Lepisosteus oculatus: one gene and its partners. The protein of the gene in region 3 interacts with the protein of the main gene of each other region in a pairwise test. Links are inferred from orthologs where the notes say so. Each region holds a gene or a part of one and is shown on either strand. Other genes may lie near its edges.

The links. The genes of interacting proteins can lie anywhere in the genome.
Region 1: the proteins of lin7a (region 3) and mpp2b interact in binary tests that used the Homo sapiens proteins (3 or more experiments, as listed by UniProt). The two-hybrid records come from large-scale screens. The link is inferred for Lepisosteus oculatus from reciprocal best matches to the Homo sapiens genes LIN7A and MPP2.
Region 2: the proteins of lin7a (region 3) and pals2b interact in binary tests that used the Homo sapiens proteins (3 or more experiments, as listed by UniProt). The link is inferred for Lepisosteus oculatus from reciprocal best matches to the Homo sapiens genes LIN7A and PALS2.

The regions. Positions count from the first base shown.
Region 1 is NC_090723.1:7,491,890-7,499,523, forward strand, and holds the start of mpp2b (MAGUK p55 subfamily member 2b), read left to right. Parts: upstream 1-4,588; 5' UTR 4,589-4,818; coding exon 4,819-4,909; intron 4,910-7,634. UniProt on the Homo sapiens protein: Postsynaptic MAGUK scaffold protein that links CADM1 cell adhesion molecules to core components of the postsynaptic density. In CA1 pyramidal neurons, required for synaptic KCNN2-containing channel function and long-term potentiation expression.
Region 2 is NC_090705.1:1,081,156-1,088,447, forward strand, and holds the start of pals2b (MAGUK p55 subfamily member 6b), read right to left. Parts: upstream 3,047-7,292; 5' UTR 2,551-3,046; coding exon 2,454-2,550; intron 2,268-2,453; exon of another isoform or gene 875-2,267; coding exon of another isoform or gene 847-874; intron 1-846.
Region 3 is NC_090702.1:19,594,493-19,602,352, reverse strand, and holds the start of lin7a (protein lin-7 homolog A), read right to left. Parts: upstream 3,078-7,860; 5' UTR 3,034-3,077; coding exon 2,958-3,033; intron 1-2,957. UniProt on the Homo sapiens protein: Plays a role in establishing and maintaining the asymmetric distribution of channels and receptors at the plasma membrane of polarized cells.

The sequences.
Region 1 (7,634 bases), on a different chromosome or scaffold from region 3:
CATTTTATGTTTTACAAACAGTATTTAGCCTCTTTAGGCCTGTTTAACAAGATACGTAGCCAAGCCTTCCCCCTTGGAACCAGAAACATAATCTAGCAGCTGTATTCACAACGTCTATGAATAAGCATTTATGTAACTCATAGTTTAAGATGTCAAACATTCATATGCCTACTTGCATTCTTTGGACGTAATTAGTTGTTAGATTAAGCGATACAAATAGTCGATAGATTAATCGTTTACAAAATAATCGTTAGTGGCAGCCCTAGGCCCTAGACACTGTGCCTACAGTGCCTAATGGGGAATCCAGCACTGGTGGCTGGGGATTTGTCAGCAGCTGAATTGCATATTATGGTGTCCAGCAGACTGTAGGAGGAGCAGTGGTCAACTTGTAACTAGAAGGCTGTACACTCCTCTCGGACTGATGGAGTAACATACTCAGCTGTATAAATGGGTGCATTTGTAAAGCAGTCCATCCATTTTGTGGCGACTTCATCCAGTAGCGGGTTGTGGGGGATCTGGAGCCTAGCTCGGCAAACGACAGGCGCAAGGCAGGATACACTCTGCACTTGACACAGGTTACACCAGGGCCAGTTTTCCCCCAAACTGATTAACCTACCAGTGTGTCTTTGGACTGTGGGTGGAAACTGCAGCACCTGGAGAACAGAGAAACTCCACACAGACAGCACGCCAGGCCTGGAATTGAGCCCAGGGCCCCAGCACTGCAAGACAGCAATGCTAACCACTGTAGCCTTGCTGCACTCACAGCATCCACTCGATGAATTGTAAGTCACTAAAAAATAAATGCATCAGCCAAATAAAGATACTTAATAGAAGGCCTATCTGATTACCCTAAGGTTACCAGGCCCGGGGGCCAATTAATCAACGCCTGTATCAGGACACAGTGCGTCTCCAACCCACTCTGAAGCAACAGGCAACCTTGCAATTGCAGATACAGACGCAGCAGCCCAGAGCTAAATAAATCAACAGAGCGGTTTTGGACTTACAAAGCACGGCGCCGAGTCGAAATCACTGGGGGACTTTTGACATTATTTAAGAAAGAATTGCTATCCACTCCCCATCTATTTGAAAGTTTTCTGCTCTGAAATGGCCTGGGAAGAATGCCAGGCATAGGAAATTGAAAGTCGACACAGAGGGAGAAGTAATGGGCTACAAATGCGAGGGCTCGCTGTGTGTTTACAGATAATTTGTGCTTGGTTTTTCTAAGACGATCTGTAATATTTGGCTGTAGATGTTTTTATTTTAGTATGCTGTCTTGCTGTTAAGATGTGCCAGGCTCTGCAGTGTTTGTTTTAGCTGGGCAAGACCTTGCTGGTCAAGATGGATCTAAATAAAGCTGTTGGGAACTACAGAGTGAACAAAGGCTCTTAGCTGCAGCTGATATATGCCTGTTCGTTAAATTATTTTGTTGATTTGTCTGCCCAATGCGAAACTGCCGATTGCTTCTTTGTGTCTGGGCTCACAGTGACGACCCCTGTACCTGCACGGGGAGGATGAGGAAATGTGCCACAAGGCTCACTGCGATGTACAGGAGGGTCAATGCTGATTGGAGGAGAGGTGTGTCCTGCGATGATGTCATCGCATGCCTCGAGATTCCCAGGAAGTTGCAGGGTGTTGCCGTTTTGTTGGCAGTTAAGCCGACTTCTTTGCATCACTGAGCCATTTGGCTGCCACTGTTGGGGCAGTCCCAGTTTTTGGCCGGCAGTGTCATCTCTCTGGCTCAATCTCTTGACATCTGGATAACAGAACTCAGCTTAGTCTGGGTTGAACACCTTTTGCTGGCTGAGCCTTTTAGGATCCCCGATACCCCCCTTTTAAATTGTGTGACCTTAGCCCTGAGGAGGAGCATGATGAAGATTGACATTGTGTCAGCTCGTTGCTGTAAGACAGGAACTGATGAGAGCAAGGTGACAGTGTTCATAATTTTTAATGTGTGCAAGAATGGGATGAGATGAAGACCTTTTCCTCCCGATATCCTTGCTTGAAGACGAACAAGACAGATGCTGAAGAAATAAATAGTTTTGTCTCACTCCATTTCTTCAGAAATGAACAATATGTGATTGTTTTGGAAAAAAAAGCTCCAAATGCCACGGCTGATTGGATTACTCATGAGATGGCTTATTACTGTTCAGTTGACCTTTATCGTGCGTTTCATCCTGGTACAAATTTCTGTAGTCTCCTCATCACTTAGTGGGAGCTGAAATGAAAGTACGTCTTTGCATGATTGCATAAGCAACATTACAAATGAGAGGGTGGCATTCAGCCAGGCTTGATCTTATGGTTACATGGTGCTTATTGATCAGAAAACTAATCAGGCCTCCTCAGGGGTTGTGGGGAATTGGTATTCATGGCGTTGGGTAGTGTCATTGAAGAATATCCTATGCAGCAGGATAGGATACTTCAGTTACTCAAGCTGCTGTCAGCCTGCAAATACTGAATGTACTTTGTGCGTATATCCAAACAGCATTTTCACACTTCTGAAAATCAATTCTGTACAGAAGGTTGCGCAACACAGAAAATTGGAAATGTGTGTGATGTCCTGGAAACACTTGCACCTTCTAAGAGTCATGGAAACTAGGAAGAACTGTTAGTTCCCAGGTGTTTCATATAGCTACTTTTGCAGTGCAAACATTAAGTACGTGCATATGCTAATACAGTACCTAGATGTGCAGCTAGAAAAGCAAGAAATCCAATTGGTATTAACCAGACTGCAGCCAGCCATTAGGAAATTGCTGTAGTGGGCTATACATGTTGTGGTACAAATTGCAAACCCAAGGTTGCTGGTAAAGTTAACTGGAGGTCCTGAGAGCAGTCCTGACTGGTGGTTAAAGATATTGGGGTGCTTTTTGAAAGAGCAAGGGCACAACTGACTGTGCTCCATTTTCACACCTGGAAAAAGGCAGTAAATCCTCAAATCCTCTCCTCTCCCCGTGATTTGCTTGAGTGGAGCATAGCTTGTGTGCAGAGGGAGTTGTGCTTCAGCTGTGTTTATCCTCTCATCTGTAAAAGCCTGAAATCCTGCGGGTGAAAGAGGCTGTCTATGTGCACAGTGCTGATACTATTCTTTATACGACGGATCAACCCACATTCTCACTGGACAGGTCAGACAGCTGAAAATGCTATGGTTTTATACAGTCCTTTACTGTGAACTATATATATATTCTAGGTGACAAATAATGATAGCTCTGTGCTTTTAAAAACATCTTCCTTCCAGCAACTGTTATTCCACTGCCAGAGGAAAAATGCTTCTTGTTGTAGTCCCTGTCTAATCTCATTTAGTGTAATCCCTCTGCTGAGTTTTAGTGAGGAAATGGAAGCTGCTAAAATCATAAATATAGGAATATATTTTTATTACCTTTTGGATAATCTGAGCCTTAAAGAATAATTAGGATAAAACGAACATACAGCAATTTAGTTTCATGAAAATATGATGACCCAAAAGCTACAAATCAAAGCATCTCTTAGATTTGAAAGAATGCAATGTTAGGCACCAGCAATATTCTCTTCAGGGTAGGATATGCAATATTGTAATGTGTGACACGTTCAGCTGAAAACCCCCCGATAGTGATCTGTTCCCTCGCTTGCCTGTCGGGCACCTCCCTGTCCTGAAATACTGTTAAGTCCGTTTACATGCATATTTTACAGCACTATCACGAGCGATGTAGAGATTCACTACACGAGCGAAGAATAACAGGGCTGTCAGGTCCCTGTTCTGTGCTCTGAATGCCAGATGGATGAGGGGAGCAAACAGGAGGTCAGAGATGTTCAGGTGGGGTTGAATTTAGCCAAACAAAGAGTTTAGGCCTCTTTATAACTCAGACAGGACCATTCCTCCTAGACTGGGACTCCCAAACCAGGGTCTGTCCCTCCAGTGCCTTCTGGGTTTCAGTCCAGCATGCTCAGAGCTGAGCTTAGTAATCAGAGAGCAAACCCAACCAAGTATTAGTTGGATTAAATCATCAAGCGTGTAATACAGAGGTCATTTGGAACAAAAATCAGAAGATGGACATGTATACTTCTCTGAATTAAAGGGCTCCTCATTCAAACCTAATTAGATCCGGAGGACCTGAATTTCTGTAGAGGTGCAAAAGTAGTCATTACTATGTCAGTGCAAGCTTTCGTTCCCCTTTTTCTTTGCCCTGTGGGTGCTGTGCAGAGCAGCGCTTAATGAGATCTCGGCTGAGACACTTGTTACGTAGAAAAAGGATTTTATTGATTAAAGGCAGAAGCGTGTTTGTCAAGGTGCAAGAAGCAGCAGAGCCCTTTCCAAAGCAAAAGAAGCACGTAGCCCCCAGTTACATTTTAGGAGATGAAAACAACAAAGCATCCAGCCTCTTAATTGTTTTTCTGCCAGATCTGATCGGATATTGCGGTGTTGAGTGCCAAGGAACTGGGTGTATAGCTGCCACTTGTTATCAGTGTGGAGAAACAGGGGGGTGGGGCTGGAAACGGTGTGACGAGGTGATTGGACAGTGTGGGCAAATGAGGTCACTGTGGGTGGGGAGTAGAGGGAGGGGCCTTGTTTACTACACTTACTATTATTATACATGCCTGCCAAGACGCAGCCAGTGCTTAGTTAACTCCTCCTCAACCTCCCCACCCCTCCCTTTCCCTAAGACATTGTGGAAGATGTCAGCGTGAGCACTCAGCCCCTTCCCTGCAGACAGCTGCTAGAGAGAGGGTGCTCAGGCTCGTAAGGAAAACTCAGCCGAGCAGACAGGCTTGAGCTAAACCCAAGCTCCAGCAAGAGATCGCTCGTTCTCTCTGCGTTTCCGCCCCCCCCCTCCGTCAAGCCGTGACATGGCCAGCAGCCGCTTGAGGAGATTATCCCTGGGGGAGATGGGCTCTTTAAACTCCTCGGAGGGCTCGGAGCTGAAGCTGAGCAGAGAAGGTAAAGTGTGGTGGGTGGGAGGAGGAGGAGGAGGGGGAGGAAGAGGAGAGCGCTTTTTTTTCCACTGGGTTGGAGGATTGGAAAAAGCACCATGTTCCTGGAGTGCCAGTGTCTCGGGGCTGACTGGGGCTCAGAGCGAGAGATCAGAGCAGAAATTGCAGGATTAGCTCGAGCTCAGTTAGGGAAGTAGTTTCTTCAAGTGTCAGGTCAGCGGGTTGAAAGTGTAGCGACCCAGGTGAGCTCACACAGGATGAGTGGATTGAGGCAAGGAGATTCTCGGTTTAGACAGAATACCCCCGGCCTCTGTCAGCTTGTTTTGTGTCTGAAATGGATTTCTGATGCATTAAGGCTCGTCAATTTCAAGATCGTATTTTTGTATTGATTTGTATTTCCCGTGTGTGATTTGATGTGGGATGTGTGTGGCATGCCTGTTGTTTCAGGAGTGCTTGTGAGCTCTGATGTTTGTTTCGGATTGTGTGCTATGTTTAGCCTGGTGTCACACCACAGGGTCTCAGCTGCCGTGCAAGATCGGGAGGATGTTTTCCTGGTAGGGAGGAGGAGTGGTTGTATGAGTGTGATCTGGCTCTAAACAGTCTTGATATTGTGAATGAAATCGCTCTGGTCCAGAGACTCTGTAAAAATGCACTTGCTACATCCAGCAAGCTGCTGGCAAGTACATCAGGTTGTGATCTCTGTCTGCTGTGTGGAGGAGACATGGCGAAGTGTCTCAGTGAAGCCGGGACCCTCTGTATTGCTTTAAAATACGGCGGTGATGGTGATTGTAAAATTCTTGGTGCATCTGGCACCTCCTGAAGCCAGATCTTCACTGCTTCTCAACCTTTTCTCGTTTTTTTTTTGGAATGTTGTATTTGTAATATACGATTATAGAGCTAGGCAGTTTTATGTTTGTTCCTGGCTGAACATCAGACTCTCAGAGCCTGATGAGCTCTTGTTTAGTTGTAGCAAACGTGTCTCTCACAGTAGGTTCAGTATCCTTCCCAGGACTGTTTTGCAGGCCCCTTCTGCACTGGAGCCTGGAGCCCGGAGCCCTGGCGGAGAGCTCAGAGGCTGTGTCTTTTCTCCTGAGCTCTGTACCGTCTCTGATGTGGTTTAAACAGCGGTGTCTTCTGAACTTTTCACACTCTCACCGGAACCTTCCTTTGCTTCTGGCACTTTTCCATAATCCGTGGGAGGTTATAATCATTGACTGTATTGCACCTGTAGTATGTGCACTTCAGTACTGTTTAACCCTGGCAGCTTAATAGTGCAGACATCTTTCCTGAAAGCTCAGCGGTCTTTGGTTTGCAAGTGAAGTCAGAATGCCAAGCACTGAAAGATTGCTGGAAACTTAAGAAGCCCCATGTGGTGCCTGCTTGGAGATAGGCAACATTCCACTCTCCAAGTAACTAAGGGGCGTCCTGGAGCCTGTACCCCTATAATTACAAGATAGCTCTCTCCACAAGACCGTAATTCAGACCAGTCTGTGGATCATGCAGAGGAGAACACTGCTAATGCGTTAGGTTATGATGTATAAATAAATGGTTCCTAGAGATTCTATTAATTTACTTAATATCAAGTTCTATAGAGGGCTTATAAAGCTGCTATAGATACACAGTGGTGTTCATCCTGATTTTAAAACAAATACTAACCTTGATCTTACCTAAAGACTACTAAAATATCTGGATGTTTTAATAATCTACACAACTTCAATTCCTAGTAAACTGGAGTTAAATAGAAGGCCTAGTAAACCACAATTATAGAACTAATAATCGGTCTTTTTAACTCTTCTAGACAGCCTCTGATGTGTTTTATGAGTAACATGTTTTTACTAAAATGAAAGTTTTTAGTAATCCACTGTTAAAGACCCTATGAAGAGTCCTGCATATTTCATAAGGAAATAATTAGGATCATTGATTGACTGCACGGGTTGGAACAATAAGCAGAAGACGCAAGACCCTCCAGAAATTGAGGTTGAAAGAAAGGCTGACCAGTATACCTTGTGCTGCCTTTGAGCTATACTGCTGTTAATAAGCAGCTACAGTACCTGCCATAATTTTAAATGTCCAATTCCAGCCCGTTGTGGTTTTGCAAGACACAGATACCCCAAAGGTGTCTTAAAAATATTAGAAAAGCATCTTAGAGTAAAGGAGTTTATTGTCATATGTACATGTATATTGGGATTCTTACTGTTCTCTCAGAACATACACAGTACAGCAGACAACACCACACAGTGTAGCCACTACATTACAAAATGGTTCATAATAAATAGTAACAACCAGAACAATAAATGCGTTGTAAGAACAATCAATGTAGTGAAAAGTACATAGAGCAGTGGATTGAGTTCTGAGGAGCTGCACAGTTAGCTGTTAAGCATGTGTACTGACAGTAGGGTTTTGACATCTAGCAGCAAAGACGGACATAAAAAACACCAGTTCCACTTCTGCAAACTGCAGAGATGTGTGGCTGTGCAAGCATGGGATGTCCAGTCTTTCAGAAGGCTGTGGACCGCAGAGACACACGCTGTGCGAAACGAAAGCAGATGGCAGAGCCTTGGGTATCCACAGGCCCACTGCAGATGCTCACTGCCACTGGACTGTAAGCCTTTGCCAAAGAGGTTTGCTGCTTGCAAAACCTCATGCCTCGTCAATAATTCGCTTCCCAAATGAGGGACTGCCCTTCTATACTGCTCGGACTGAGTCACGAGCAGCCCACGGACCTGTCAGAG
Region 2 (7,292 bases), on a different chromosome or scaffold from region 3:
GTTCTGCGATGGCGCCGCTTTGCAGAGCAGCCCAGACCAACCCGAACGCCTCCGAGGGGAACCTGGACAGAGCGCAAATTACTTTCACTACAACAGGAAGGCACGTCTTTTTGACTTTTACATTCAGATGACCTGTAAATTGCAAAGGAAAGTTTTGAATGCCTCTGACGGGGATGTACAGCCTGTATGAGTTCCGTCAGGTGTGCACCAAGCGCTCGCGTTTCCCGGGCTCCTGTACTTTACTCGCACACAGGAGGGGACCCACTCACCCACTACCGAGCTGCGGCCCCAGGCACACATGGGAGAAAGTGTTTCACTTCAATCCTTCAGTTAGGAGGGCCAGACCACACAGCCCAGAGTAATTAAGCCAGGAAACTGGGGACGCACACCCCTGCTCTAACGAACATCTTTAACGAGCGACTTGTCAAGATCTTGGTTTAACCCCTACTACAGCACAGTGTCTCTGGTGACCATACCATGGGACACCGGTCTGGAAACTGTGCTCCGCCAACACCGGGTTTTCCTTAAGGTCTCCCATCCCGGTACTGACGGGCCTCGGGACCTCGCTGGGCTCAAGCCAGAGGGCTGCGGTGTCGTCTCAACAGCGGAGTCGGCGAGCGCAGCAGAGCGGTCAGCCTCCGAGCCGGGGCCGCCAACGTGCCCACCGCGCAAAAACACAAAGCAGCGGCTCGGCGGGGGGGCGGGGGGCCCCGAGGCCCCTCTGGCTGCCACGCCGCTGAGGGCCGAAGTGTTTTAAAGCCCCCAGCCCCTTCGTGCTCTCATTCACAGACCCCCGCGTCAGAGCAGTCCTTTAAGGCTGCAGGGAAACAGAGAATAGGAGCTCACCCAGCCAGCACTGCCAGCGCTGAAACATCCATCTGAAACTGCACAATAAGCCCTCAGATGGGATTAAACAAAGGTTTATTGCTGTCCCTGAGGAATAGGAGAATGAAAAGGCACATTATTTAAGAAAACTAATTAATAAAATCTATGCCCATACGTAACAGAGCCAAGACTATACTGCAAGAAACATTTGACAAGCGACGCATATTTCAGCAAGAACTCCAGCATTGTCCCAGATGCTTTCAAAAGTAAACGCTGTATGTAAAAAAAAAGAGGAACGCAAAGGAATGAGGACCTTCTTCAGACATTTCAGAGCTTCATCAGCGCAGGCTTAGCGCGCTACCAGTCTCACTGCCCGACAGCAACAAACAGCTGGGAGTCCAAACGCCAACGACAGCCGCATGAAGTGGTTTTCTTTTAGAAAGGTTTACGAAGGGTTACTGGAGATTCCCTCCCCTCTGAAGACGAAGGTGTCTGCATGTTTCTAGAGCCGACATGCGGCATGCAGCCCCCTCGCCCGAGCGCTCACGAGCATGGCGCCACGGACAGGGAGCAACAGGGGGACAGGGGGCCACGCTGGTGGACAAGCGGCGCTCAGGAGAGAGCCCAGCAGCACAAGAGCCCCGGGCAGAATCCGAGGTCTGCTCTGCCGGACCTCTGGACAGCACCCGACACAGGAGAGCAGCACGCCGCAGAGCTGGCTCTACCTGTGTGTCTAACCCAGCTCAGGTGATCCCATCCACGGCACTGACACCGTCTCCATGCTTCACAGCAACACGGACTGAACACTCATCTGACCAGAGTGAAGGCACGACACTGCAGCATCGCTGCATCGAAGAGCACGAACACTAAAACATTCCTACATATTCATGGGTTTCTAAAACGCTGCACAACACACCCATTCACCCATTCATTAATTTGAGCTGTTCACAAGGACAGATAAATCTGCAAATATAAGACTGGGACTGGAGGAAAATGCTCACAGGCCAGTGCAAAGCCTGTCTCCAGTGAGGAAACTGTGGAGATTATGGAGCTTACTACTGTGTCACAACAGAAGTAATCAGGTACCGCAGGGATTTTATTAAGACCCTCTCTCATGGTGCAAGCTGAAGTGAATCAACATGCACGCTTGCGATAGTGACACTTCACTTCCTCGTGCGGAGGGATGAGATGGGAGTACAGAGCAGGAACCGGCTCCTTCTCCGCAGCTCCCGAATAACATCAATCCTGCCTCTCAAGAGCCAGGCGACGCGCCTCGTATCTCTCCCGCCACTGCTGCATCCTGCTGTGCACGTGGGGACTCCCTCTCAGGACGGCTGCCGGCTCTTTTAACACTGCAAACGCGAGAATCCAGAAATAAAACCTGAACTGGCACAGGCTGGAATACTGTTCCTGACAATCAATTTATATGACAGCCCCCACCGAAACCCCTGGTTATACTGACATTTAGCACTCGAGAGACTTAGCATAATAACAGTACAGTACCTCACAGTAAGGAAACAACTTCTCCAGAAGTCCAGACTGAACCCAGCTGCTATTTAATCGAGTAGTAACTGCTTCTTCAGGACCAGTACCCCTGCGATTTAGAGTAAAACCAACAACCAGCTCACCTACAGAAGAATTAGCTTCACCCCCTGAAGAAGAGCTGTCTCTTTCAGGAGAGGAATCTAAACTGTCTGTATATCCTTCTGCAGCCGAGAACACCATCGCGAGGAACAGAGCAGATCCTGCACTCTTCCCTCCGACAGCTTCGTCTCCGCAGATCAATGTGACTAACTGCTGGTGGGAGTCCTCCGGTGCGATCGCCCAGGGGAATGCCAGCCCGCTCCGGGAGGGAGTGATGACACAGGTGACGTGCCCACCGCTCTGTGTGGGCTCCGGGTCCTCAGGGCAGCGACCGAATCAAGGCTGTGCGGCTCGGGCGAGCTCTGCCCTCTAATACCAGCTGGAACCTCTAATCCCACAATCCCTTGTTTTCAAGGGCTCTCCACTGTCCCCCTCAGCTGCAGAAGCAATAATCTTATGTAAGTGCTGCTGCAGCTGCTTAGAAATACAGCACCACTCCGCTTTCAGAGCCCGCGACAAGCGCTACAGTTCTGATCGAGGAGATGAACTGCTCCTGTGCTCTTCCTCGTGTCAGGATTCACAAGAATGTGTGGATATTATTTATAGTTAATTTCTCATTAGACTCATCGCCTGCCCAAATTTCAACATCCCAAATCCCAAATCTAGAAACAATTAAAGATTTTGTTCTGGTTTATTACACAGTTCACCAATGTCGAGGTAAACATTGCTGGTACTGTATGTAAACGCTGTAAGTAGCATGTCCACTCACATTACACCCCTCTGAGAGATCCAGGTTCATGTTGGACATCATATCTCATCATCATATCTTAGAATATTAACTGCGCTCTCCGTAGCTGTCACTGAACCGTGTAAGAAATTGTTAACCTTGCTAAGTTTTGTATGAACTATGTTATGTGAAATCTACCAGGTCTGAACTATAAAACACTAAGAATGTTGCTCACCAGATCATTAAAATAATACATGATGATCTTACATACAAAGAGTCTATTATAAAAGCAAAAGGCCAATAAAACTGCATTTACAACAGATGGGCACCACCGAGCTCCAGCTACAGTTCGGACCGGCCTGTGGCTTGATTCCCTGACCACAATCTTAAATTATTTCACGACAAGTGATAAAATCTGAAGTTCTAACGAAGTAACGATGTGCAGTGTATAAATCAACAAATTAACTCGGAAGACTTAGAAAGACAATTTCTTCAAAATCTATTTTTGAGCAAACTGGTCTCCTTTTTCTAGTTTCCGAAGGCATCTTTCAGGACACCTTGCCAAGGCCGCAAGGCTTGCATGATGCCCAGCAGCTGCCTCCTGCTCCAGACCTGAAGCTCTGCGAAATCATTCTGTGCAGACAGGAGCTCCAGCTGAGGAAGCTGCAGGTCCGGAAACGGCACTGACCTCACGTCCTACACTGCTCCGCGGATCAGCAGCTCTCCCCCCCCTTCCCCTTGTGTCCAGACCGTCACTCCCAGCATGGCGAAAAGGAGACCTTCAGGGCTGGGAGGCGGCCAGAGACTGGGTGCTGGAGATCCCCAGGTCACAAGCCCCACTGCGCTCTGAACCCGTGCATGTCAGCAGGGAGCCCAAGTCAATGCAGAGGGAGGAGAGCCGTCTCCCAGGCTCATTTAAAATGCACAGTCGTTCACGCAGGTGAAGGAAACGACAGCCTCCTTCTCAAATCTCACACGAAGGCTACAAAACGAGAGGGAGACATTCAGCCTATCTGGCTGGTCTGGCTGCTGATCGCTACCTGTAACTGATCCTAGGCTCCCATCCAGCTGTTTCTTGAAAGAAGCCAGGGTATCGGGTTCAGCCGTGCAGCAACATCATGCTGCGATGCATGTAATATTGTATATGTGTCCTATTAGAGCACTGTACAATCATAACATCCCTGAGATTAAATTCTAGTCCCTGTGCTGCACTGCATTTTTTATATTAAATGTCATCTGCAGTGGTTTGTCCAATCTTAAATACTATTTAAATATCTCTGAATTTCCATGTTCTGCAGTGTTTGCCAATCCTCATCTGAGAGCTACACTAGTTTACATTTATAAACATAACCATTTATATCATTTATATTAATTAGGAAGAGCACTGGACCTCATTCAGATCCCTGTGGTACTCCACTAATTACTGTACATCTCCCAGTCTTGGCAATCACTTCTTATCTGTACTGTTCCTATCCATTGACCAGTTTTTAATCCGAAAGATATATTCTTTTGTTTTAAAAGACTTCTGAAATTCTGAAGACTGCACCCTCTCAGCTTGTTTTCAAGGGATATTGTCAATAGCCCTTCAGGTAGTTGCACTCACGTCTTGGAACGCTAAAAGTCTGCCCATCGAGAGCTTACCTGTACAGGAATTAGAACTGGCCACAGTCATTTCCCTATACCCAGCATGAGCTGACAGGCTCACCCCACCAATGTGCTTTTTGATGGCCTTCAATCACACTGTGTATCCTCAGTACAGAAGACCTGCAGAGCTAGAAAAGGCAAAAATTAAAGTCATGTCTGTTTACTTCGGGCAAACTAAAAAAACTCTTTTTCAGAACCATTATGAAAAGGCGCCTATCTCACACATATCCCAATCTATTTCATCATAAAACAATTATGACAAACCAATACCTTAATGAATATTTCACAATACTATAAAAGGTCAGTGAGTTTTATTTATGGCAAATACTTGGTCTAAACTCATTACAGGAAGGTAAAGCATAAAGCACAGTAAAAGAGGGATTGGATAAGTTTGCAGCACGTTTGCAGACTGGAGGGACTGCAGCAAGCCTGCAGAAGCCCGAATTCTGCGACTACCAATTCCAGACAATGGATAATGAAAATCGGGTTGCACCATGTTGTAAGGGGGACTGGAATCAAGACAAGAGCACTTAGACCATTCTGCTGGGCTCCTTCTGTCTAGTAGCACTTTCTAAGAAACACTGTGTCACAACAACAGGACGCAGAAGATTGTTAAATCACAAATCACCCTCGTAACTGCACAATGACAAAGTTCATTTCATCAAAAATGATGTTTAATGTTTGCATGGCTGTGCGCAGCACGTTGCAAGCAGAGACGTTTCGTGAAAGGCATCGAGTAAAACGTGAGCCTTTGTCATCACAAGCCACGCGTCACAAGCTGTGGGCTGTGTTCAGCAGAGCAGAGTCCTGCATGACCACCGCGCTCACGGCATCGCTGTGCGTCTGTGCCCTGAGGGATGGGCACGCTCTGCCCCTGCCTAATCCCCAGCCCTGGGCTGCACTCCCTCTGATCGCAGTTAATCCACAGACAGAAACACCGGATTAGGAAATCTGTTTTTTAGGATTTGCCCATCGCCACTCAGCTCCCAACTAGGATTTGATGTTTATGACAGCCTGACTGATGGGCGTTAAAACTGAAAGAAGCAGAAGAAGGGTCAGGACCCCCAGAGGCTGCTGCTGCGGGCTGGATGTTGTCCTGGTATTAGCTAAGGACAGGGAGCAATCCATGCTTGAAAGACAGAGCGAACAGCTCCCTCCCACGCAACCGCACACACGGGTCGCCCCGCTGACCACCGGCCTAACGTTCAAGACAACAAGAGAAGCGGGCTGAGTGTCCAGCCTGGGCGTAAGGGGGGCGAGTCCTCCTCAGGTGACCTGCTGTTCCGAAAGGATCCCCTTTCTTGTCCTTCCCACTGGGGTGCTGAGGGCTTTGGATGATTCAGCTGTGCAGCATTGGTTGTTATTTCTTACGACATCTCTGAACTCGGAGAAACCTTTTTGAGGGGATTGCTATTAACTCGAGCAGAGCGTGGCTCTGGACTACACGCTGCACAGAGCACAGGACACACTGCACACTGCAAAGAGCACAGGGCCACACTGCACACAGGACACACTGCAGAGATACACATGCTGCAGCACTAACACTGACACAAAATGAACTCAGCAGCAGTACAGTACATTGTAACCAAACATACTGCACAGGCACTGTGTGTGAGCGATATGCCCAACACACCAACAGTGAGCTTTCTGACCATTTTCACAGTGTATTTTAAAATAATAAAACAGGTCCAGTCTGTATTTGCCAGCTAAAATACCTGTCAACAGCTTGTAAAACTCCTGCTTTGGCACATCCAAGGTCACAGGCCAAAAAAATAAAACCAAACAGAAGCACAAAACAAAAAAAACAAATGACTAATGGTGAGGTCACTCTCAGATGCCACAAGCACAACCTGAAAAACAAAAAAGCACCCACCTACAGCAAAGAGAGTCTTAACTACTGCTGAGTCACCAGGACTATTAAAAAAGCCAGCTTCTCCTGCTGAGGTGTGAAATTATTGCAGCTCTTACTTAAAAACAAGAAAAACAAACCATTTTAAAGTAGCGTATTCAGCATCACAGAAGATGCATAATTTGCTTTGAACAGCTTTCTAAGTATCCTCCGTTGGCGTAGCAACCAAGCCCTCTGCGCACCCGAAAGGGTTTTAAGGTGCTGTCCAGGGCGGGGCCTTCAGCACACAGCTGTGTTCTTAAACTACAGCACGTTACTGCCTGGGGGACTACAAAATCAGATGCATGCTGTGAATAGCTGCATTGTCTGGTCAAATGTTTGTTGCATTGTCTGGTCAAATGTTTGTTCCAGAGAAAGAAAAACTGGTAAGAATGAAGAACAGGAAACATTTAACGCACATAGGCAAACTCGTGACGTATACCGTGATCACGTTTTCTTTGGCAGATGTAGTTTACAACATTCTGATAACCTCATATTTACACTTCCACGTGGTCACCCCTTAATGGTTAAGTCGAGATTTTAAAAGACAATTCTATACTTTTATAATCATGGATTTTTTTATTTTTGCATAAAGTATCTGCACAGGGCTGGCCACCTACTGTG
Region 3 (7,860 bases):
ACATTGTATTTGCTTTTTATTAATTTTGTAAAAGAAACATAATCTAGAAACAAGCTTATTACACTAAGATCTCAGCATTCACAAGAGTGTGGTGAACAGATCCATCACAGTAGCCAAATCCACATACAACCCATTCCACCACACACCAATTATACCATTGTATAATGTACATATGTACACAGGTAACCCTCCTTTTTATGATAATTAAAGTATTCATGCATTTGCTTTAAGTTAATCACAATAACATTAATCAACTTAAACAAACAGCTGTAATCACAAACTTATATCAGCTAAGACAAACAATATGAATCCCTCTGTGGCCAGAGGAAGCCTTCACTGCATTGCCCCACTGCAATAAAAAGGGCAGTAAAACTGTCAGTGAGCCTGGAAAGTTATCTTCCAGCCTGTCTTTGCCCATGCTGCCGACACGGAACCGGAAGTGATCGTTACAATAAGAAAAAACAAGACGGCACTGAGGCACAGATGCTGGGTAGTGGGTACTTGAGCAGAGGCTGGGAGAGGCTCACTCAATAGATTCATCTTGCTATCCTATTCTCTTTTGAAATTTGCAGTTAACGATCTTTGGCTTGGTTTCATCCTGCTCCACTCTTCTTTCATCCAAGACTCTGCTGGCCAGACGGCCAGATCAGATCTTAAATCAGCATATTTACAAAATCACGAAAGTTGGATTCAAATGGCGAGGCTCTACTGTATTTTCTATGTTGTATATACTGTATAGTTTCTGTCTTTATTCCTGCATGTACAGTAATACAGTATTCAGAATTTCATCATCCCAAGTCACCCCAGCTTCAGCATTCACCACTTTACATTCATCTTTACTCTCTGTTTTCTATTAAGCACACACATTTCACACAATTAATCTTTCTTGAGTTACTTTATCAAATCCTAAATTAACCATACCATATGCCCTCTGTGGGCCTAGTGCTGTTGTTGCTTCTTAATGTAACTCTTAACAAGTTAGTTAAGCAAGACCAATAGCTGGAAAACTATATACTGAAGGTGATATTCTGATTAAACTCTCTAATTTGTCTCATGTAACCTAACCTAATATCTCTGTGTAATGACCAGATTACTACTGAGTTTGACTTATGAATAAAAACACACTACTTCCTGAAACTGGGTTTTTTTACTGCTTATTTTGCTACAATAGTAACAGATGGACACTCATATTAAATGTCAGTCATACAGCATGTTTATAAAACCTGGTCAAAAACATATATTATATAACTCAATGAGACACAGATCTGTTTATTATTAGACATGCAGTCCTGTTTTATTAAGTATGAGAGCAATGTTTTCAAAATGTATATCATTAACAGTTGTATTTCTGCTAACAAGTGTATTTGAGAGCTTTGAAGAAGAGACAGAATTTATGTTCAAAAATGGTTTTCTATTATATTGACCAATACAAGAGGTGATTAAAGGGCTCATAACTCAGATCAGTGATGAGGGACCACCCCCAAATCCCTCAGTATACACAGTTTAACAAACACATGACATGCAGGACCGTTGTTGCTCAGAAACAAAGTAGGAGTAATACGTTTTGAGAACACAAGAGCATCCAAAACAATCTCACAGGGTTCCCATCCTTCCTGTATGGTAATTTTGTTCATTTGAACCCAGGATGCTGTGTTGCTGTATGTCCTGTCTCAAGAGGACAATGATCATTACAGTATACAGTACATAGTCACTGGTTCCTTTAACATGACTGGAATACTGAAGTACAGTATCTCTTTTTGCTCTTTATAATACTCAGCTACATGATGACTGACAGACTTTCCTTTACTTTATCTCATCAGTTAGCTTCTTTACAAATTGGTGTCAATGTGGCATGCTTCTGTGTAGTTGTGCGAATTGAATTTTTATTTGACAGTGATTTTGTACAGAAATATAAAACATGAGTTAATATCAGTAAACAGCAACTGTAACTATAGCAAGCTACAGTACTAAAAAAAATCAGAGCTAAGCTGTGGTAAATAATGCGTAAATACAGTATCATTAAACAGCAAGAACTATAACAAAATTAGCTAAATTATAATTCATTTTAATGACTACCTAGAAAATTGAGAGAATATCGTAAGCATTTACATTTCTTCATAATTTGTATGCCGTCATACGTCTGGCTCCATCGTTTAACCTACTGTATAACGTTGCGCTTAATGCAATCGTGTATGACAGCCAATAGCTCCTACAGAGAATGTCAAATGACAAAAACGCTGGCGGTGTTATCTAAATGAGCTGTCCGTGTAAGACTGGACAAGCAGATCTTCGTGATTCTAATTATAGTATTTATGTACAGTATGCCCACAGTCGAATTCTATACTAGTCTTTCACATGTGCTTTGTAGGCAAGTGACATGTTTTATCTTGATAAGTGAAGAGCCTGCCGTGCGACTAAGAGCTTCCTTATGTCATGAGTAAATTCAGGAAATTCATCCAACAGTTGTCGTGTGTTTCGACCAATTCTACAACCACATAAAAGTTATCCCATTTTATATTAACGAGCGCGACTATTTCAGCAGTTTGTCTCAAATGGCGACTTTGACTGCTACGTTACGATCAATGCATTTGCTATAATTTATCAACCAAAAAAAATGTCTCGTATTAAAATGCAGTATTAGTTGATGTTTTATTTCTTCGGATAATATAATATTTGGTACATTTTAGAGAGTACAGAGAAAGGGATCCAACTGCCTTCAGTTTTCTTTACTCATCGTTAAAATGCAGTTGCATTTAAATCGTACAGAGCGCATCATTTCCACTTGATACATTTTACTGAGAATCTTCGTGAAAACATAAGTAGAGGGGGGTAAAGCGAACGATATACGGTATTTGGGTATATGATAAATCATTTGTTTCCCTTGCCTTTCCATGAAGTTTGTCTCAGATAAATATCCAGAAGCAGCAACAATATGCATAAATTGGTCCCAAGCTTACCTCTGTCCAAAGTGAGCGGTTGGACCACTGTCGCCATGTCTGCTGCTGTTGGAGATAAAGTGACTAGCTGCAGCATCAGAAGCAACTCCACGAAAGCGAGCGAGTGAGAGAAGCGAGCCAGTCAATGGGAGTGGCTGGAAGACTCAGGGTTTACAGGATTACCTTTTCAGTCCTAGGTCGTTCCGAAGCATTAGTCGTAGCATCTGTTTTTTTCTGCCGACTCGTTTGTGTATGGTGTTAGGAAGGATATGTAACTTTTTGCAACACTGAAGAAAGCAGCCAAATTAAATAAATAGTAAACATGATCATTTACTAAAAATTCACAATGCTTTTACAGTGACCTGTATTCATGAAAGGCTCTCCGACAATTTGCTACAACAAACACGTTTTAAATAATGATTAGTATGTAAATGTAAGTTCAAATGCATTTTTGACGTGATTTAATTTACGAACGTTGTAGATGTATAAATAATTCTTTATTAACGTTCAATTATAGCCTTCTAAATTATGGCAGTACAGCATTAGCGGAAAATGCTGGTTGAATACATGGCAGTATATTATTAACTGTTATTTTTATATTATAGAAATTACAGTTTGTTACATCCAGTGTTACTAACATTCAGAAACTGGACTGTATGTATGCATAATTAAATATGCATGTAGATAAGTAAGATAAATATATATTACAAGTAACTACAGGACAGGACAAGTAAAATGGAATACGATGTGACATAAACAAAAAGATCTTTACATTAAAGTCAAGACTTTAACGTACGTTTTTATTACTTTTAGATTCTTGTAAATATTTTTGAAAACAATTGTTAAACATTGAACGTGCTGCTTATTTTGTCTTTCCTGGGTTTTAAACTGTATATTGAATAATGTGTTTTTCTTGTTACGGTATCTAATTAAAGAAACAACCCTCTGAGTACCAGAGTGAAGTGGAGGTTAGTACTACTGTACTGGCTCATAGTTCTCTAGCCCATGGCTCATGTTTAGTCTGGGGTACCTTCTTCATAGACTTTGCATGGTGTGGGTTTTCTCTGGGTGCTCTTGCTTTCTCCCATCTTCCAAAGACATGCAGGCTATGGTGCATGGTCTACATGGTGTGTGTATGCAATGTGGCCGGCATCCTGTCCAGGGTACAGTTCCTCCTTTGCTCCCTTAGCTTCAAGGATGGGATCTGAGTTTCTACAGGCATTATTCTTGCCTTTAGCAAGAATAAACGTCTTTCTCATTAAAGATGAATGTGTTGTAATAGAAGCTCCAAATACTAGATTGTAACTCATGATAACAAAAGTGTTAGGGGTGCAGCTGGCGTCAATTAACCCTCATTATTTAATTTCCATTCCGCACCCCTTCCTTCACTATTTAAACCCTCCATTCACTCCGAATCATCGCTTGGTATTAGGAATCTAATTAGGAATGGGAGCTTGGATCATCCTCAACCCTTGATATCCAATCTCTCTCTCCCGGACCTCCATTACGAAGGCTCTTCTAGCCTTGGACCTCTTGACAAATCTTTCGTCTCGCCCCTCTCGGATTTGTTTGGCTTGATACTCTCCCTATCTCTATCCAGATTTGGCCTCACTTGGAACTACTGGCTTCTCTGCTGCCTCACCCCTCTCAGACTCGTAAACCTTCGTCCTCTCTTGGAGACCTGCACAAGGATTCTTAAAAACTTGCCACAACAAATTTAGGATTTGATGTATGTTTTTTGTAAAAATAACAGAGCTGGTTTGTTACACAGAAACACAGGGGCTCTGCTTTCAAGGTATAGATTAAAGTTCTGCCTTTATGACTTGATTTACAGGCTAACAGGGAAGCACAGTGGGATCTCTGTGCTGGTGCTGCACTAGGCTCAAGAAAGAGCACTACTGATGACAGGTAGATTAATTTCAGGTCACAGGCAATGTAATGTTTTATAAAGATAACAGATCACAGGCCATTATGAACATTTGTGGAGCACTGGGTTCTTATATTAAAACAATGTTGATAAAAATATTCCTCTCTTTTCACCATTAACATTTTAGTTTGCCAGGGCATTATTCACTTCTGATTGTAAAGCAAGTTTACAGAATATCTCATTGTTATTTGATAACCAGCTTTACTTTTTTTCTTTGTTACTCATATTTTCTATATGTATTGCTCATTTTCTTATCTTTTGGGTTACCTAAAGAAGTGAAAACGCATATACATGTAGGAGCATTTCCTTACATGAGATAACAAGGCCTCTCGCAGTTGAAAACTAATTACATCAGGACAGTCATTTTTGATGAGCAGCAACATGGTGTCCAACTATGCAATTGACATGTATTTGCTCCATTGAAGATATTAATTGGAAACAAGAGGTAAATGAAAATTGCTATCAAGAGCTAAGGAATTCAACATTTCCCATGATACCATGCACAATGTAATCCATTGGCAGCTGTGGTGCTGCAAAGTACTGATCTGCTGCATACTTGCGCATCTCCCCAATGATCATGTTCATCCTGCATGGGGATCTTTCTGCTGCATTGGACCCATTGCCTGTTCCTTCAGCACACTGTTATAGCACATGAAGCATGGGTGCACTGGACATTGAATCAACCATCTCACTGCCCTGATCTGGCCACCCAGTGTTGTTTTTTTCTCTTTAGTCCCTTATAGAACCACGTGTACAACATGCAGTTTAAAACTGACAGCAAAAAGCAGTATGCAGTATATATTTCCTGAAACCTCAGATGTATATTTGGGATTTTCATTACACTGGGTACAATGCTTTGGTGTCACAGCGCAACATTTGACTGTGGAAAACTAATGTGTATTATGGCTTTATTATTGCTTATACAGTAAGTGTATGCATGTATTTCTACAATATACTGCATGTAATAGGGTGTTTCTGTAAATAAGTTAGCATTTATTCAGTATGTATGAATAAATGCTAACTTATTTATAGAAACACCCTATTACATGCAGTATATTATAAAAATACATGCATACATATTGAGACATTTGTGCTGTGCTTGACTGAAATACACTCACTACTTGATATATTGGATTCATCTGATATGAGAAGCTTATTTTGATAATAGGAAAAAAAGTGTTTTGTATACATTCAGGACTCATCTTTCTTCATCTGGTGTTTAAGTGGTTTTACACAATAGCCTTGTGCTCTTTCTTTTCCTAGATCTGTGTGGTTCATATTGTACATTTACAATACATAAAAAAACATACTTAAAAATGCAATACCTTTGGATATGGTAGTCGTAATGATAAGAGAATGTGTACGTTTCTGGTCTACAGCAGCTGACACTATTTTGAAGGCATTTTTCCCATAGTAAGACATTATATTGCTAAATCCTTTAACTTTATTTTCTATTCTCTGAGTCCTTTTGATCAGGAGTGTCAGTATGCAGTGGGAACTTAAATATATACAGTATTACTATATATATATAGACATCACTATTTTGATTTAAACCCCAGCCTTTGATCAGCCTTTGCAATCTACTTCTGTTACAAAATCATATCAAATAAAAAGTAAAAGTACCACATATTACTTCAAAATGCAATGGAGCTACTTCTCTGTTTTCAGACTGCGTAATACATCGTGTTAGCTTTGATGTTAGTACTACAATCAATCTCTATAATTGGTATTGATTTTTTTTATGGTAAGAAAATAATCTGGAACGTTTGTAGAAAATCATTATACTGTATGTCAGGACAGTTTAAAGAAAATGAAGTCTCTCTCATTGCCATAAATTTCTGGCCTCTCACTCTCAAGTTTGTGATATAAAACAAAGCAAGCATAGTAGATCTGGAAAAGGGAAATTCTAATTGATTCCAGCAATTTTACAGAAATGGTAAAATACTTACTGAGAAATGTTAAACATTTTTAAATCCCACGCACATTCTAAGACTCAATCGAACACTTATAAGTGTAAACTTTCCATCTTGCTGAAATTCATCAGAACACTGTAAATAGTCATTTTTATGGTACTCCACTTATTCTTGTTTACATTCATTATATTTTAAACGATGCTTGTTCTGCTAACTAAGATGTAAAACAGAAAATCCTTACACAAGTAATAAACAAACTCTGAAACTTTTAGTTCATTTATTTAACAAATAAAATAATTGATAAAAAACATAATGATGGAAACATCACAAACCCATATCTATCCAAGAAATTGCATACTGCATATTAATTCATGTGCCTCCAAAACAGGGCATTAGCTGTTCTTGCAAGAACTAGAAAACCAAATCCATTAACATCAGATTTGTATTATATTGTTAATTAAAGTATTCATTATTGCCATCCTTCACTTTTGCAGAAGCCAACACTGTTTTTTTTCCATGGATGTGCATCCAGTTAACAGCTGATACAACATTGTCGACATTGAAGAATTAAGAGATGGGTTATTCTAGCTGAATGACTAACAGCAAATGGTTGTCTGTAATGAGTTAGAGAAACAGCTTAGAGTCTGCAATAAAGAGGACATGAGGAGATTAGGTATTTGTGGCCATATGGGATGATGTCCTGGCATTTATAAAACATCAGAGCAACATTTTGTGCTATTTGCATTTGATATTATACTAGTATGCTCATAGTATAATAATTAATTGGTTTCTCAGTCAAAATGTTTTTAAATTACACCACACTTGTGACAGTAAGAGTAATTTGCAATATTGCCAACTGCAATATTGTAGATATGTTGTAACAAATGAGCAAATATTAGGAATTAAAGTATTGGTCATGGGCAAAATGACTCGGTCATCGCCCAGTCCACCTGGGCTTTGTCATTATCCACTATGGTAAAGCACAAGTGGCCGAGCACCACCAGGGGTGAGATGACATCTGGGCTAATCCTTGGCTTTCCTCTGGGACTTCATGTATTCAGTGTAACCAGGGGTGCACTTCTCC